Styela clava: one gene and its partner. The protein of the gene in region 1 purifies or fractionates together with the protein of each later gene. This does not show direct contact. Links are inferred from orthologs where the notes say so. Each region holds a gene or a part of one and is shown on either strand. Other genes may lie near its edges.

The links.
Region 2: the proteins of acidic fibroblast growth factor intracellular-binding protein B-like (region 1) and C2 domain-containing protein 5-like purify together in Homo sapiens (affinity purification with mass spectrometry; 3 studies listed by BioGRID and IntAct, counting the BioPlex papers as one, with this or other methods). This does not show direct contact. The link is inferred for Styela clava from reciprocal best matches to the Homo sapiens genes FIBP and C2CD5.

What each region holds. Positions count from the first base shown.
Region 1 is NC_135261.1:13,766,955-13,774,577, forward strand, and holds the start of acidic fibroblast growth factor intracellular-binding protein B-like, read left to right. Parts: upstream 1-4,606; 5' UTR 4,607-5,561; intron 5,562-6,070; 5' UTR 6,071-6,079; coding exon 6,080-7,141; 3' UTR 7,142-7,623. UniProt on the Homo sapiens protein: May be involved in mitogenic function of FGF1. May mediate with IER2 FGF-signaling in the establishment of laterality in the embryo.
Region 2 is NC_135251.1:23,303,508-23,310,653, reverse strand, and holds the start of C2 domain-containing protein 5-like, read left to right. Parts: upstream 1-4,140; 5' UTR 4,141-4,246; coding exon 4,247-4,336; intron 4,337-4,905; coding exon 4,906-4,992; intron 4,993-5,306; coding exon 5,307-5,478; intron 5,479-5,890; coding exon 5,891-5,986; intron 5,987-6,687; coding exon 6,688-6,872; intron 6,873-7,146. UniProt on the Homo sapiens protein: Required for insulin-stimulated glucose transport and glucose transporter SLC2A4/GLUT4 translocation from intracellular glucose storage vesicle (GSV) to the plasma membrane (PM) in adipocytes.

The sequences.
Region 1 (7,623 bases):
GGGGTCCGCGACGACTACATAGGGGGTCCGCAGTGATATTGAGCGACTGAAAAATGTACATTTAACATATAGAGGACTTGCACGGGTCACGTGACTTTGTTACTGAACGGCAATAAAACAAACACGTCCATTTGGCTCCTGTCAGTTGCAAGTCGGATTATACGTTTCCGTTTTGTTTGGCTGTTGAAAATGGTTATTTCGTATTGTTCCGTTAGCTGTACGTATAGTATAGACAACGAAATGGATCTTCATTTATATTCCACTGATTTCAAAAGATCCGGAACGTCGCGCAATGTGGATATCATCTATTGCCTATTGGCAGAACTGCTTGGTGTCAAGTCCAGAAGCCATATTACTTGTGTTTCACTGTTTGCGGACAGCACTTCGTTGATGGTGAGTGATAATGTGGTGATAGTGTGCCGTTATCAATTTTTTCAAATATTCACAAGCTCCCTCATTTCAATGGAAAGCAGATGACAAACTACTGTTATTAGTAGGCTTAGGCGTGGGCCTACTTGCAGTTGCAGACTTGACTTGTGTGAGACAGTAAGGAATTAATAATCAATTGCTATAAGGTATTGTTTCCCTAACTAGCAGGTAATCTATTACTAAGTGTGAAAGGTTGAATAGATAACTAAAGTTTAACACCAGTGGTCATGCAAAAAATAACCAGAATTCAATTGATTCGCCATCTAGGAATACGCTCGCCACCGCCTCTCTGATCACCCTGGTAGTTTCACAGGTTTCAATCCCACGCGCGGATAGTTATGTGCGAGAGGATTGCAGCTCTACTCCCACCGAGGGTGGTTCACATGACCGCTGATCGGTTACGACCATTCCCCACCATCCAAGTCCATGCTTCTGAAAACAAATAACTGGCTCCTCCCCAGATAAATCCTATCCTAATGGTGCTTGTACAACTGATCCAAAATGTCTTTTTATTGTCATTGGTAAAAAAGATATGCTACCCGGAATCAAATTCATTTACGACTAGTGGCTGTGGTGGGATATGGACTTAAATTTCACACTCCTTGATCGTTAGATTTTATGAAAACTCTATCTGTATCCATTATCTTACAGATATGGGTGCGACAATGGAATAGATGGATGGCAAAGTATAAGTTGCAACAAGACCACAGTGGCACAAGACCTCAGCTTGCGTGACTTGATAATACATCCTCAGTATCCATTTATTGATGCTTATCGTAATGACAAAGTAACTTGTGATTACTGTGGATTGGTGGAGATAAAGTGTCCATTGTGCTTTAACGAAAGCAACTTCAAGACGACCCTATCAAGAAAAAAAAAATGTTTCGGTGGGTCTGGTAGTGAAGGTTTTAGTCTAACGTTGGACACCGATACTACAACAAGATACAGTTGCCAATGAAACTTACCGAGGCGTAATATTGCGACTTTGTGATCTGGAAGGAAATTCTGATGGGTAGCCGGCTAGCCGCAACCTTTTGTTCAAAGAATATTATGAGATATGACTTAAGAGTCTAAACTTTTATTTGAAAGGGGTGTAATCCAAGCTAATTTGCAAATGGTATTCATGGTACCAAATGTATCACACACTTTACAGTAATTATAAATTATATTTGAAAAATAAAGCACATCAAAAATGTATTTTTAAAAAAAATTGGTTTTATCTGCAGATACTAGGTTGATATTGAGATTGACCATTTCAATGCTAAATTTTCTTTAGTCAAAAGGCACAATTGATTCGCAAAGATTTGTGAATGCGCACAGTACACCAATTTGTCTAATGTTTTGATTCCATAGGCAGGAGGTTGTGGATCGGTGCTGCTCAGGATGGGATATTTTTGCCTCTAAATGCATATTACGTGTTTCACATGAATCCATCGTGCTCAGATTCGACTGTTTTCAAGGTCTGAAGGCTCCAACAGCCTTATTATTTTATGGCTACACAAGAGAATTTTCAGTGTGGCATGCATGGGTCAGTTGGAGTCACTAACCTCAAGATATCTATAAGCAAGGATAAGATAACCTGGAAGTAACATTCCATAATTTAGAGTAAAAAATGTATCTGCCTCCACAGCCCTTTCAAATGGAAGATATGATGCCTCGGGGGTAATTTCTATCAAATATTTTACAGTATTATGGTTCTAGTGAAAAGGGGTGTAGGCGGCTTTTTTTAAAGTGTGGTAGGTCTAGTCGAAAGACACATTAAATGTTTATGCTAACAACTGCAAATTAATATTGCAACACATACAATTTAACAGAATTTATTGAAATGGTCCTGCCTTTTTCCTTTCTTCAAAATCCCCCTTTTTCTAACTATTCTCTTCCTCTCTGGGGCTGGCGAAAATTCAAATATCGATGGGACATATAAGCAGCTGATAATGGGTTATCTTCCCTTTTTCCTGAAAATAAATTAAACACTAATCATCATTTGACAGTGCCAAGTTTGTGTATCAGATCAGTAATAAATTACCTGCGAACTAACAAAACAATCAGACAACACCTTCTGACCATTAATGAAGATTTCTTTCAATTTAAAACGCAACTATGCCTACCAATGTGGGTAGTTTTTAGGATAGAATTTATCTGTGGTTGGGGACAGATTGCAAGGTGCAACATCGTACGATTACCATTCTATGTCGGGATTAGTTAGCCAGTTATTTGATTTAGAAGCATGGACTTGATGGTGGGGGATGTCGTAATCGACCAGCGGTCGTGTAAACCACCCTCAGTGGGAGGAGAGCTGCAATCCCCTCACACATAACTATCCCCGCATGGGATTGGAACCTGTGAAACTCCCAGGGGGATCAGAGATGCGGTGGCGAGCGTATTCTTAGATGGAGAATTCAATTGAATTCTGGTTATTTTTTGCATTAGCACTGGCGTTAAACTTTAGTTATCTATTCAACTTTTCACTCTTACTAATAGATTACCTGCTAACTAGGGAAACAATACCTTATGGCAATTATTGATTAATATCTTACACGAGTCAAGTCTGCAACTCTGCAAGTAGGCCTACGCCTACCAATAACAGTAGTTTGTCATCTGCTTTCCATTGAAATGAGGGAGCTTATGAATATTCAAAAAAATTGCTAACGGCACATTATGACTTACCATCAACGAAGTGTTGTCCGCAAACAGTGAAACACAAGTGAGATGGCTTCTGGACTTGACACCAAGCAGTCCTGCCAATAGATGATATCCACATTGCGCGACGTTCCGGATCTTTTGAAAACAGTGGAATATAACTGAAGATCCATTTCGTTGTCTATACTATACGTACAGCCAGCGGAACAATACGAAATAACCATTTTCAACAGCCAAACAAAACGGAAACGTATAACCCGACTTGCAACTGACAGGAGCCAAATGGACGTTTTTGTTTTATTGCCGTCCAGTAAACAAGGTCACGTGACCCGTGCAAGTCCTCTATATCCACTGTTACTTACGTCACTCCGTGACGACTACACAGGGGTCCGCAGGGATATTGAGAGTCTGAAAAATAGTATAAGTATTGAGAAATTTTGAGAAAAGACGGGAAGAAGGTAAAAATCACAGAAAAACAGGAAATATGTATTCAGGGGACCACGGGAAACTTCAATAAAAAGCAGGAAGCTTTAAAGCGTGAAATACGGGATATTTCACTAAAACGCGGGACATAGGCTAGCGAAAAGTTTACTAATGAACTGAAACTACAGAAAATTTCCCTAAAAAAACGGTCATAACGTGGAATTTGCAGAAATATTTATCTAGGTATTTTGTAGGGAGAAATTGAATGAAACGCAGAATTATTAGGAAATGTTGGGAGACAAGGAAAATAAGGAAATCTATGATTAGGTGTTTTCATATAAATAATTGCAATAAAATTCTGAAGATTTGAGAATGGCGGAAAGATCGGAAAAAGTAAGAAAATTGGTTAGAAAGCATGAAATGTGTATTTAGGTTTTTTTATACGAAAAATTGCAAATAAATATTAAAGTAGGCCCCTATTCAGAAATGACGGCAAATGCGAGAAGAGCAAGGAAATCGCTGAAAACAGTATACAGTATATGTATTTAGGGGTTTCGTGTAAAAATTGCAAAAAAATGTTGAAATTGAAATTGCGGAAAGAGGAAAGAAATCTCTGAAAAACAGGGAATATATATTTAAGTATTTTTATACAGGAAATTGCGGAAAGAGTCGAAAAAAACAGAAAATATGCATTTAGAGGTTTTTATACAGAAAATTGCAACAAAATGTGGAAGTAGTGAGAAAGGCGGCAGGCGAGAAAGAAAATTGCGGAAAAACAGGAAATATGTATCCAAAGGTTTTCATACAAAAAATTGCATTAAAATGTGGAAGTATTGAGAAATTGTGGGAAAAGGCGGTTTTTGAACAGAAAATTGCAATAAAATATGAAAGTAGTGAGAAATGGCGGAAAGAGTGAAAAAATAGTGTATTTAGGTGTTTTTGAAGTATCCCGTACTTTCACATTCGCGTGTATATTTCACGTTGCTCTCCTTTTAGTGCAATTTCTCCTACACATTATCTAAAATGAAAATTTCCCATTCCATAGAGCGATTTCCCGCCATTCTCGCTTTATAGTAAAATTTTCTGTAGTTTCCGTCATTCCCATTCCATAGAGCGATTTCCCGCCATTCTCGCTTTCTAGTAAAATTTTCTGTAGTTTCCGTCATTGCTGTAGTTCCCGCTTTTTAGTGCAATTTCTCGTACTTTCAAATCCATGTGTATATTTTGCTCTCTCTTTTCAGTGCAGTTTTGCTAAACATACTCTAAAATGTATATTTGCCGTTTCATAGAACGATTTCCGGTCGTTTTCGCTTTTTGTGAAATTTTTCATAGTTCCCGTTTCCGAGTGCAATTTTTCGTACTTCCACACACATATGTCTATTTCCCGTTGCTGTTACTTTTTAGTGCAATATCGTCTGCGCATACTTTAACTATAATGTATATTACCCGTTGAATAGAGCGATTTCACGTCGTTCCCGCTTTTTGGTGAAATTTCCCGCAATTCCCAACATTCCCATTGTTACCGCTTAATGAGTTTAGACTTTTCTGTTTTTTGTCTCGTCACTTTCTGTATCTTTATAACGAACAATTTTTTTGAATTAAACATTCAAAAACAACTAACGATTATATATATGACACCTGCTAAACTCCAAACTCTTGGCAAGTAGGGGATTTCCCTGTCCATAATTTGGGGATTTTTCAAACGCAAGAATCGAAAATAAAAGAAGTTGTTGGAATGCGGATGCTGTTTGGTTCGAATTTGGTTTCCCTTTTATCATTAAGTCTGAAAAAACTGATATAGGTCTGTCGTATATATCACTGCTTATCATCAAATTAATGATAATATATCAATAACTGGCATCGTTTCAATTTTCAAGAAGAGTGCAGGTTTAGCCAATAAAGAACACGTTGTCACCATTTTAGCCAATTAAGAACACGTTGAACGTTGTAGATGAGTTTAATATTGTGGATATACACGGAATACAGACGATGAATACAACATTAGAACATCGAGAGACGAGACGGCACTTATCACGACGATTCGACTCCTAATACAAGACCTTTCAACGGTACCTCTCTTTCAAATATCCAATTGAAACCATATTTATACGTACAGACGTATGTGCGTATGGTGATATCGATTCCATTAGGGTTTGGAATACTAATTACCATATGTTATCGATCCAATTATATTTTTGGTTGTCATCTGTTTGTCTAATTACAACGGGCCCTAGGCTATATCGATCCAATTCATGAATTCGGAGAAATTGGAAATTAGCAATTTCCAGTCTTTTTAATGTATTTTACCTGTAATAACGAATTTATCCCCAAACAGGTACCGTACCCTAACAGTATCGTGTGGTATTTCTAATGTTCCTATCAATTCAATAAGCAATATGGCAACATTTGCACCAGTACAATAAATTGGCCATTTTAAAATTTTTTTTAGCATTATTTCGATATCTAGATTTTCACCCAGCTATCGCCTATCGACAGATTGATATGCATTTTGTACAATGTAAATGGCATTGATCTTCTGTTTGCATAGTTTGACAGTAGGTAACTCATTGTCATTTAGATTAAAATTATGGAGATTCAGCCAGAGATTGATATATTTGTTGGCAATAACACTGTTATTGATATGGATGTATATGATTTATGGCTCCGCAGGGTTTCTGCAACAGATGCTGTGAAGCAGCATAAGATAAAGGGAAAGTCAGTAACTGCAGATTTAGTTCTGAGCGATGTTCTGGATCAATATCGAACATTGGGATTACTTGAAAAATATCTCAAGATACCCTCTAGCCTTGGTCATCAGATGTCCTTCCAACTGACACCAAAAATGCAGAGAGAACTCATCACACGATATTACACATTTGATGAAACTGTCATACGTGAACTTTTAGGAAAGAAACTATCTCGAAACACTTATCAAAGCATGGATGAAATTGCAGATAAAACTGGAATAAATTTACGAAGCTGCATAAGACAGTTTGATAACTGCAGGCGAGTTTTTAAAGCTGTTGAAGAAATACCAGGAATACTGGTTGAAAATATAGGAAAACAGTTTTTGCTTCCCAAGGATTTATCATGGGCATATGCAACTGTTGTGTTTCTTGCAAACCATAGATTTGAATGCACAAAACGAAAACTGAGTCATATGACCCTTAATAATTTTATTACTTGCTCGCAAGTGTTAATTGAAAATTGGTCGTATGGTCATTCCGAGTCTGAAACTCTGGATATGAACGTAGATATAGATCGAGAATTTTTGCATGATCTCAGAGGTGTGAAGTTTTTAGCATCTGATAGAGATCTTGTGGATAAATGTAAAGAGTGTTTAATAAAAAATTCTGCTGCAGGAGGTTCAAGTATTGAAGCAGCTTGCAAACTTTTATGTCGTATTATTCCTACAATTGCATCAGATCTATATCATACTAAAGATCTGAGAGACTTATTTGTAGACATTGTTGAAAAAATTGTAGAGCCAGCTCGTGTTGCTAAATGGTCAAAAACTTTAATGGAAGACTTTTTGGTTAACTATAGCAAATTTTCTATTGAACATCCACAGCTAGTCGTGTTCAAGATAATTTGGTTGCGGTATATCAATGCAATTAACACTTGTATATTACAATCATATTATTGCTAAAACTTATTTTTAAATTTCCTGTTGTTTTTTGTCTCTCTTCAACCCGACGCTGGTTTCATTTGGTAACCTGAGGCCAAGATGCTAACTAGTTTAGGCCTAGTTTGACTATGATTAAAGATTATCTGAATCTCCTTGCTATGAATAATCCTATTTTATATGTTCATACTCATATCAGGGCTACTCAAGTATATATTACCGAAGGTGCGCATACAAACAAAACTTCAAAAATATTTGGGTCCGGACTTTCCAGAAATTATATTTCGGCATCTTTAAACACGCAATTCCTCAGCTGACTAATGATTATTAGCTAATCAAGTTTGTTTGTTGTGGCGTTATAGGTAGTTCTTTTCATATATATTTTTAAATCTATAAAAGTGATTTTATAAAGAAAATTTTAAAAGTGGGGCTGAGGATTCAAAATGAGGAATTATGCGCGGTTCGAATCGAATACCCGAAAGGTCCGGATTCAGACCGCGGTCCGC
Region 2 (7,146 bases), on another chromosome or scaffold:
TTATACTTTCCGCAACTTATTCCAAGTTTAATGAACGTATAGTATATATGTATGTCCAAGAGAAAAAGATGTTTGATAAATTATCTAGGAAATTTATTTGAAATACCAAACCGTTTTTAAATATGTTACGTCTGCATTGTTTATAAAAGTTTGAATACACGCTATGTTTGGTATTATATATGGCCAAGTCAAAACGTGCTGCTACAGTTCTGACATAATGAAATCAAATCTATAAGGTATCTGCTTTACTCCGAATGTGTCGTAGTGCTGCCTTTATTGGCGGTTTTTGAAAAATCGCCCTTTCAAAAACGATATTTTTTTAAAAACTTCGAAAAAAATCCACAAGAGGGCGTCAAATCATTTTTTGTTATTTTACGATTCGCCGTCTTATTCCAAGTTTAATGAACATACAGTTTTGATGTATGACCAAGAGAGGAAAGTGTTTGATGAATTATCCAGTAAATTAAGTTGAAATACCTAACCGTTTTTAAATATGTTACATCTACGTAGTTGATAAAATTGAAAATTATACGCTATGTTTGGTATTATATATGGCCAAGTCAAAACGTGCTGCTACTGTTCTGACATAATAAAATCGAATCTATAAGGTATCTGCTTTTCTCCGAATGTGTCGTAGTGCTGCCTTTATTGGCGGTTTTTGAGAAATCGCTATTTCAAAAACGATAATTTTTCGAAAATTTGAAAATAATCAACAAGAAGGCGAAACATGATTTTCCGTTATTTCATACTTTCCGCAACTCATTCCAAGTTCAATGGACGTACAGTATATATGTATGTCCAAGAGAAAAAGATGTTTGATAAATTATCTAGGAAATTTAGTTGAAATACCAAACCGTTTTTAAATATGTTACGTCTGCATTGTTTATAAAAGTTTGAATACACGCTATGTTTGGTATTATATATGGTCAAGTCAAAACGTGCTGCTACTGTTCTGACATAATAAAATCGAATCTATAAGGTATCTGCTTTTCTCCGAATGTGTCGTAGTGCTGCCTTTATTGGCGGTTTTTGAGAAATCGCTATTTCAAAAACGATAATTTTTCGAAAATTTGAAAATAATCAACAAGAAGGCGAAACATGATTTTCCGTTATTTCATACTTTCCGCAACTCATTCCAAGTTCAATGGACGTACAGTATATATGTATGTCCAAGAGAAAAAGATGTTTGATAAATTATCTAGGAAATTTAGTTGAAATACCAAACCGTTTTTAAATATGTTACGTCTGCATTGTTTATAAAAGTTTGAATACACGCTATGTTTGGTATTATATATGGCCAAGTGAAAACGTGCTGCTACTGTTCTGACATAATAAAATCGAATCTATAAGGTATCTGCTTTTCTCCGAATGTGTCGTAGTGCTGCCTTTATTGGCGGTTTTTGAGAAATCGCTATTTCAAAAACGATAATTTTTCGAAAATTTGAAAATAATCAACAAGAAGGCGAAACATGATTTTCCGTTATTTCATACTTTCCGCAACTCATTCCAAGTTCAATGGACGTACAGTATATATGTATGTCCAAGAGAAAAAGATGTTTGATAAATTATCTAGGAAATTAAGTTGAAATACCTAACCGTTTTTAAATATGTTACATCTACGTAGTTGATAAAATTGATAATTATACGCTATGTTTGGTATTATATATGGCCAAGTCAAAACGTGCTGCTACTGTTCTGACATAATAAAATCGAATCTATAAGGTATCTGCTTTTCTCCGAATGTGTCGTAGTGCTGCCTTTATTGGCGGTTTTTGAGAAATCGCTATTTCAAAAACGATAATTTTTCGAAAATTTGAAAATAATCAACAAGAAGGCGAAACATGATTTTCCGTTATTTCATACTTTCCGCAACTCATTCCAAGTTCAATGGACGTACAGTATATATGTATGTCCAAGAGAAAAAGATGTTTGATAAATTATCTAGGAAATTTAGTTGAAATACCAAACCGTTTTTAAATATGTTACGTCTGCATTGTTTATAAAAGTTTGAATACACGCTATGTTTGGTATTATATATGGCCAAGTCAAAACGTGCCGCTACTGTTCTGACATAATGAAATCAAATCTATAAGGTATCTGCTTTACTCCGAATGTGTCGTAGTGCTGCCTTTATTGGCGGTTTTTGAGAAATCGTCCTTTCAAAAACGATATTTTTTCAAAAACTTCGAAAAAAATCCACAAGAGGGCGTCAAATCATTTTTTGTTATTTTAGGATTCGCCGTCTTATTCCAAGTTTAATGAACATACAGTTTTGATGTATGACCAAGAGAGAAAAGTGTTTGATGAATTATCCAGTAAATTAAGTTGAAATACCTAACCGTTTTTAAATATGTTACATCTACATAGTTAATAAAATTGAAAATTATACGCTATGTTTGGTATTATATATGGCCAAGTCAAAACGTACTGCTACTGTTCTGACATAATAAAATCGAATCTATAAGGTATCTGCTTTTCTCCGAATGTGTCGTAGTGCTGCCTTTATTGGCGGTTTTTGAGAAATCGCTATTTCAAAAACGATAATTTTTCGAAAATTTGAAAATAATCAACAAGAAGGCGAAACATGATTTTCCGTTATTTCATACTTTCCGCAACTCATTCCAAGTTCAATGGACGTACAGTATATATGTATGTCCAAGAGAAAAAGATGTTTGGTAAATTATCAAGGAAATTTAGTTGAAATACCAAACTGTTTTTAAATATGTCACATCTACATAGTTAATAAAATTGAAAATATACGCTATGTTTGGAATTATATATGGCCAAGTCAAAACGTGCTGCTACTGTTCTGACATATTCAAATCGAATCTATAAGGTATCTGCTTTTCTCCAAATGTGTCGTAATGCTGCCTTTATTGGCGGTTTCGAGAAATCGCTATTTCAATAACGATAATTTTTTGAAATTTTGAAAATAATCCACAAAAGGACGTAAAATGCTTTTTGGTATTTTATACTTTCCGCAAATTATTCGAACGTACAGTATATATGTATGTCCAAGAAAAGAAGATGTTTGATAATTTATCTAGTAAATTTAGTTGAAATACCAAACGTTTTTTGAATATGTTACGTCTACATTGTTTATAACTTTTTGAATACACGCTATATTTGGTATTATATATGGCCAAGTCAAAACATGCTGCTACTGTTCTGACATAATGAAATCAAATCTATAAGGTATCTGCTTTTCTCCGAATGTGCCGTAGTGCTGCCTTTATTGGCGGTTTTTGAGAAATCGCTCTTTCAAAAACGATATTTTTTTGAAATTCCGAAAAAAATCCGCAAGAGGGCGTAAAATCATTTTTTGTTATTTTTAGATTTGCCACTTATTCCAAGTTTAATGCTATGTTTGGTATCATGTATTGCCAAGTTAAAACGTGCTGCTACTGTTCTGACATATTAAAATCGAATCTATAGAGTATCTGCTTTTCTTCGAATGTGTCGTAGTGCTGCCTTTATTGGCGGTTTTTGAGAAATCGCCCTTTCAAAAACGATAATTTTGTGAAATTTATCAAAGAATCCACAAGAGGGCGTAAATTTTTTCTCGGTATTTTAGACTTTCCTCAACTTATTCTAAGTTTAATGAAGTGCATTATTGTTGTGTGACAAAGAGAAAAATATCTTCTTTGATGAACTATCCAGTAAATTTAGTTGAAATACAAAATCAGTTTCAAATTTGTTGTATATACATTGTTTTAAAAATTGAAGAATATACGCTATGTTTAGTATTATATATGATCAAGTCAAAACGTGCTGAGACTGTTCTGACATAATGAAATCGAATCTTTGAGGTTTCTACTTTTCACCAATGGTGTTGCAATGCTGCCTTTATTGGAGGTTTTCATGAAACGACCATGTTACACGACGAAAATTCAGTCATTTTTAAATATCTCTCAAAAAATTATAAAAAAATTTTGTGCACTGTAACAGTCGCTTTAGCTTGTTTACTATATATTAACAATACGAGGAGTGTAGTTAATGATTGTTTTGCCTTAATTGCTATTGTGAAACTAATCAAAATATACACTTTCTTTTAAAAATCATTGGGAACATTTAATTTTACGCGTGGGTATTTTCTGCGATTCTGTCAGTCACAATTTCGTGTTTTGCTGCTAGCTTCACAGAGGTGATCATCACGTCTGTAATACAGTATTAGAGGTAAAGACTACATACCGGTACACTACAGTAAAAAAGTTATATTTGTTGACTGGGCTGTTGCACTAATAAGATGCCAGGTCGCCTCAAAGTCAAAATTTTATCTGGTCGTCACTTGCCTGTTATGGACAGGGCATCTGAACTAACTGATGCATTTGTTGAGGTAAGTTACCTGTCTGCCTGTAAAACAGCATGAGGGTCTAGTATAGTTTAGTACCACAAGTACTTCCAGTGGACGTAGCATAACGATTTTTGCATATGTTATTCCTAACCCTCACCTGACTATGCCATTAAAAAATTACTTCACTACGACGTCATCATCACGTCATAGGGATTGCCAAAGTATAATTCAGTAATTACGATCGCCCGAAATGGCATCTTGCTAAAGCCGGCGATCTCTCTCCTATCGTGATCGTTGCGACGAGAAAACGAGAGAAATAGCTTGCTCGATTTCGGGTTATCGTCTGCGCGTTTTGGACGACCATCCGCATACTTCGGTGAGCCTTATTACGCCACTGTGACGTCGGAATGACGTAATTTTTCGGTGACGTAGTCAGGTGGGGGTTAGGATTGACATATGCAAAAATTGTTGAGCCAGGCCAACTAGAAGTGGATGTGGTACTAAACTATACCAGACCCCAGGACCCACAGCACTGCAGCATGAATTACTTATAAATTTGTTCCGATAACGTATACTCAGCCTTAAATTTTCGAGACGTTGTTCTTTTACAGGTCAAATTTGGCAATACGACTTATAAAACAGATGTTTATTTAAAGTCACTCAATCCTTCTTGGAACTCAGAATGGTTCATTTTTGAGGTAATAAACCGTTTCATTTTATTTGGCCAAATATATCGTGATCCTAATTTTAAAATACATTTAGATTCAATTTTTGTTGTCCAACATGGTTTAAGTGATTTATCACTAATAACAAAATGTCTATTGTCTATCACCCCCTGAAATAAAAAGCTGGGAAACTGGTTTTCATATTTCAGTATTTTAATAATCTTCCAATTTAATCAGCATTACAAATGATAGAATAATTGATAAAGACAAGTAATTAAAAACTTATTACTGTATTATAAGAACTGAAGAATCGGAAAGTGGAATGCATTCTTCTATTCTTTTTCAAGGTTGATGATGAGCATTTGCAAGATGAACCGCTACAGATACGAGTGTTGGACCACGATACATATAGTTCTCATGATGCAATAGGAAAGATTTACATTGATATTGATCCACTGTTAGTTCCTGATTCTCCAAATTCTTTACATGGATGGTTTCCTATATATGACACAATGCATGGTATGTCTGTATGTATTTTGGTTTGTTGAATATGTTGTTTTGGTAAGTTAAATATACGATATAGCTTTAAGAGTCGTAAGTTTTGTCTTCTCACCGCAATTTCGAGCCTATTAATATCAAGAACTACATAATTTCTTTTACTTATCATTTTCATGAGATTTGTTTATATTAAAAGTGTTAGGAATGTGAGTATCTGTTACTAATATTTCTCAATTACTCAATGGAATATTATTTCCTTATCCGATTAAAATGTAATTGGTGAATATTGAAGCATGTTCTCGAAGAAAACTCATCTGAACAAAATGAGGAAGCATAACTGAAAACTTTTGACTTGATTATGCTTATTGCTGAAATATTGTCAGTGACAATGAAGTGATATGAAATGTTAATTTATAAATTTTTGTAATTTTAGGTATAAGAGGAGAGATATTGATTTCTGTAAAAATTGAACTATTCGCTGACTTCAATAGATTTAAAAAATCCTCATGCGGAATCAAGTTCATATGTGGTGAGTTAGTATTCTTGCTTACCTATTTTTTTACATATTCAAATAAATGTCCTAAGTGAATCAAGAATCTTGCTGCTCACTAACACAGATATATTTCTGTAACGTTTCGTCTGACCAAGGTCAGACTTCTTCAGACATACAACAGAAATATATTTGTGTTAGGGTGCAGTAAGACTCCTGAATCACTTAGGATTGTTATCTTTACTCTTGCTACAGCATCCTTGCATTATATGCATACGGATCCACCGGCACAAAAGCATAGAAGAAGAATAAGTAGTCAGTCTCGCACAAACCAAATCAATAGCGCAAGTTCAAATAAATGGTTCCTTAATAAATAAATAAATGGTGGTTTTGATCAAGATATATCAATATTAAAATTTAAAGTGCTAGTAGGTTGGGTTACTCGTACAGCAAAAGACGTAAGACTAATACAATTAACTGCGGTTCCTATTTCGCTTACCTCTTCTGCTATGGAAATTTATTCCAGGCGCAGATTCCTGAATTGATTCATTAGACTGATGTGAATAGTGTTAGTATACTATATTTTCTGAATCTCTTCTATGCATGACCATAATTCGGGGTTTAGTCGCACATAATGAACATATCATTGAAAACTTTCTGAAACTTCTAGTTGCGAAGCTTTTCAAAATCAAGCTATACTTTCCTATGCCAGTTGCTTTATCAACGCTTTTTTTACCCAGGTACTGTTATTCCTGAATGCTACAGAATATCAATAATACAGGGATTTGTAGAAGAACTTGTCGTGAGTGAAGATCCAGAATATCAATGGATTGATAAACTACGAACTCCTCGTGCAACTAATGAAGCAAGACAAAGACTGTTTTCTCAAGTTTCTGGTGAATTACAACGAAGAATAGGAACAAAGGTTGCTTGAAAATATATGTTAAAATTATGACAGAAATTTTGCATCACTGTGCTTCTATTATAGATGATATAATGGACTAGTTCTTCTGAAATTTCGAAAGTTTTTACTCCAAAAAGACCCTTTTCAGTCTTAAAACTCGATTAGTTGCTGTCAATGAAGATAGGCTACCAAACAAAAAAATTCATTCCAAAATTCTTTTCTCAGAGCTTAAGTTATATGGAATTCACTATCTTACATAGCTGTTTCCCTGATTGCATTGACATGAACTGCTTTA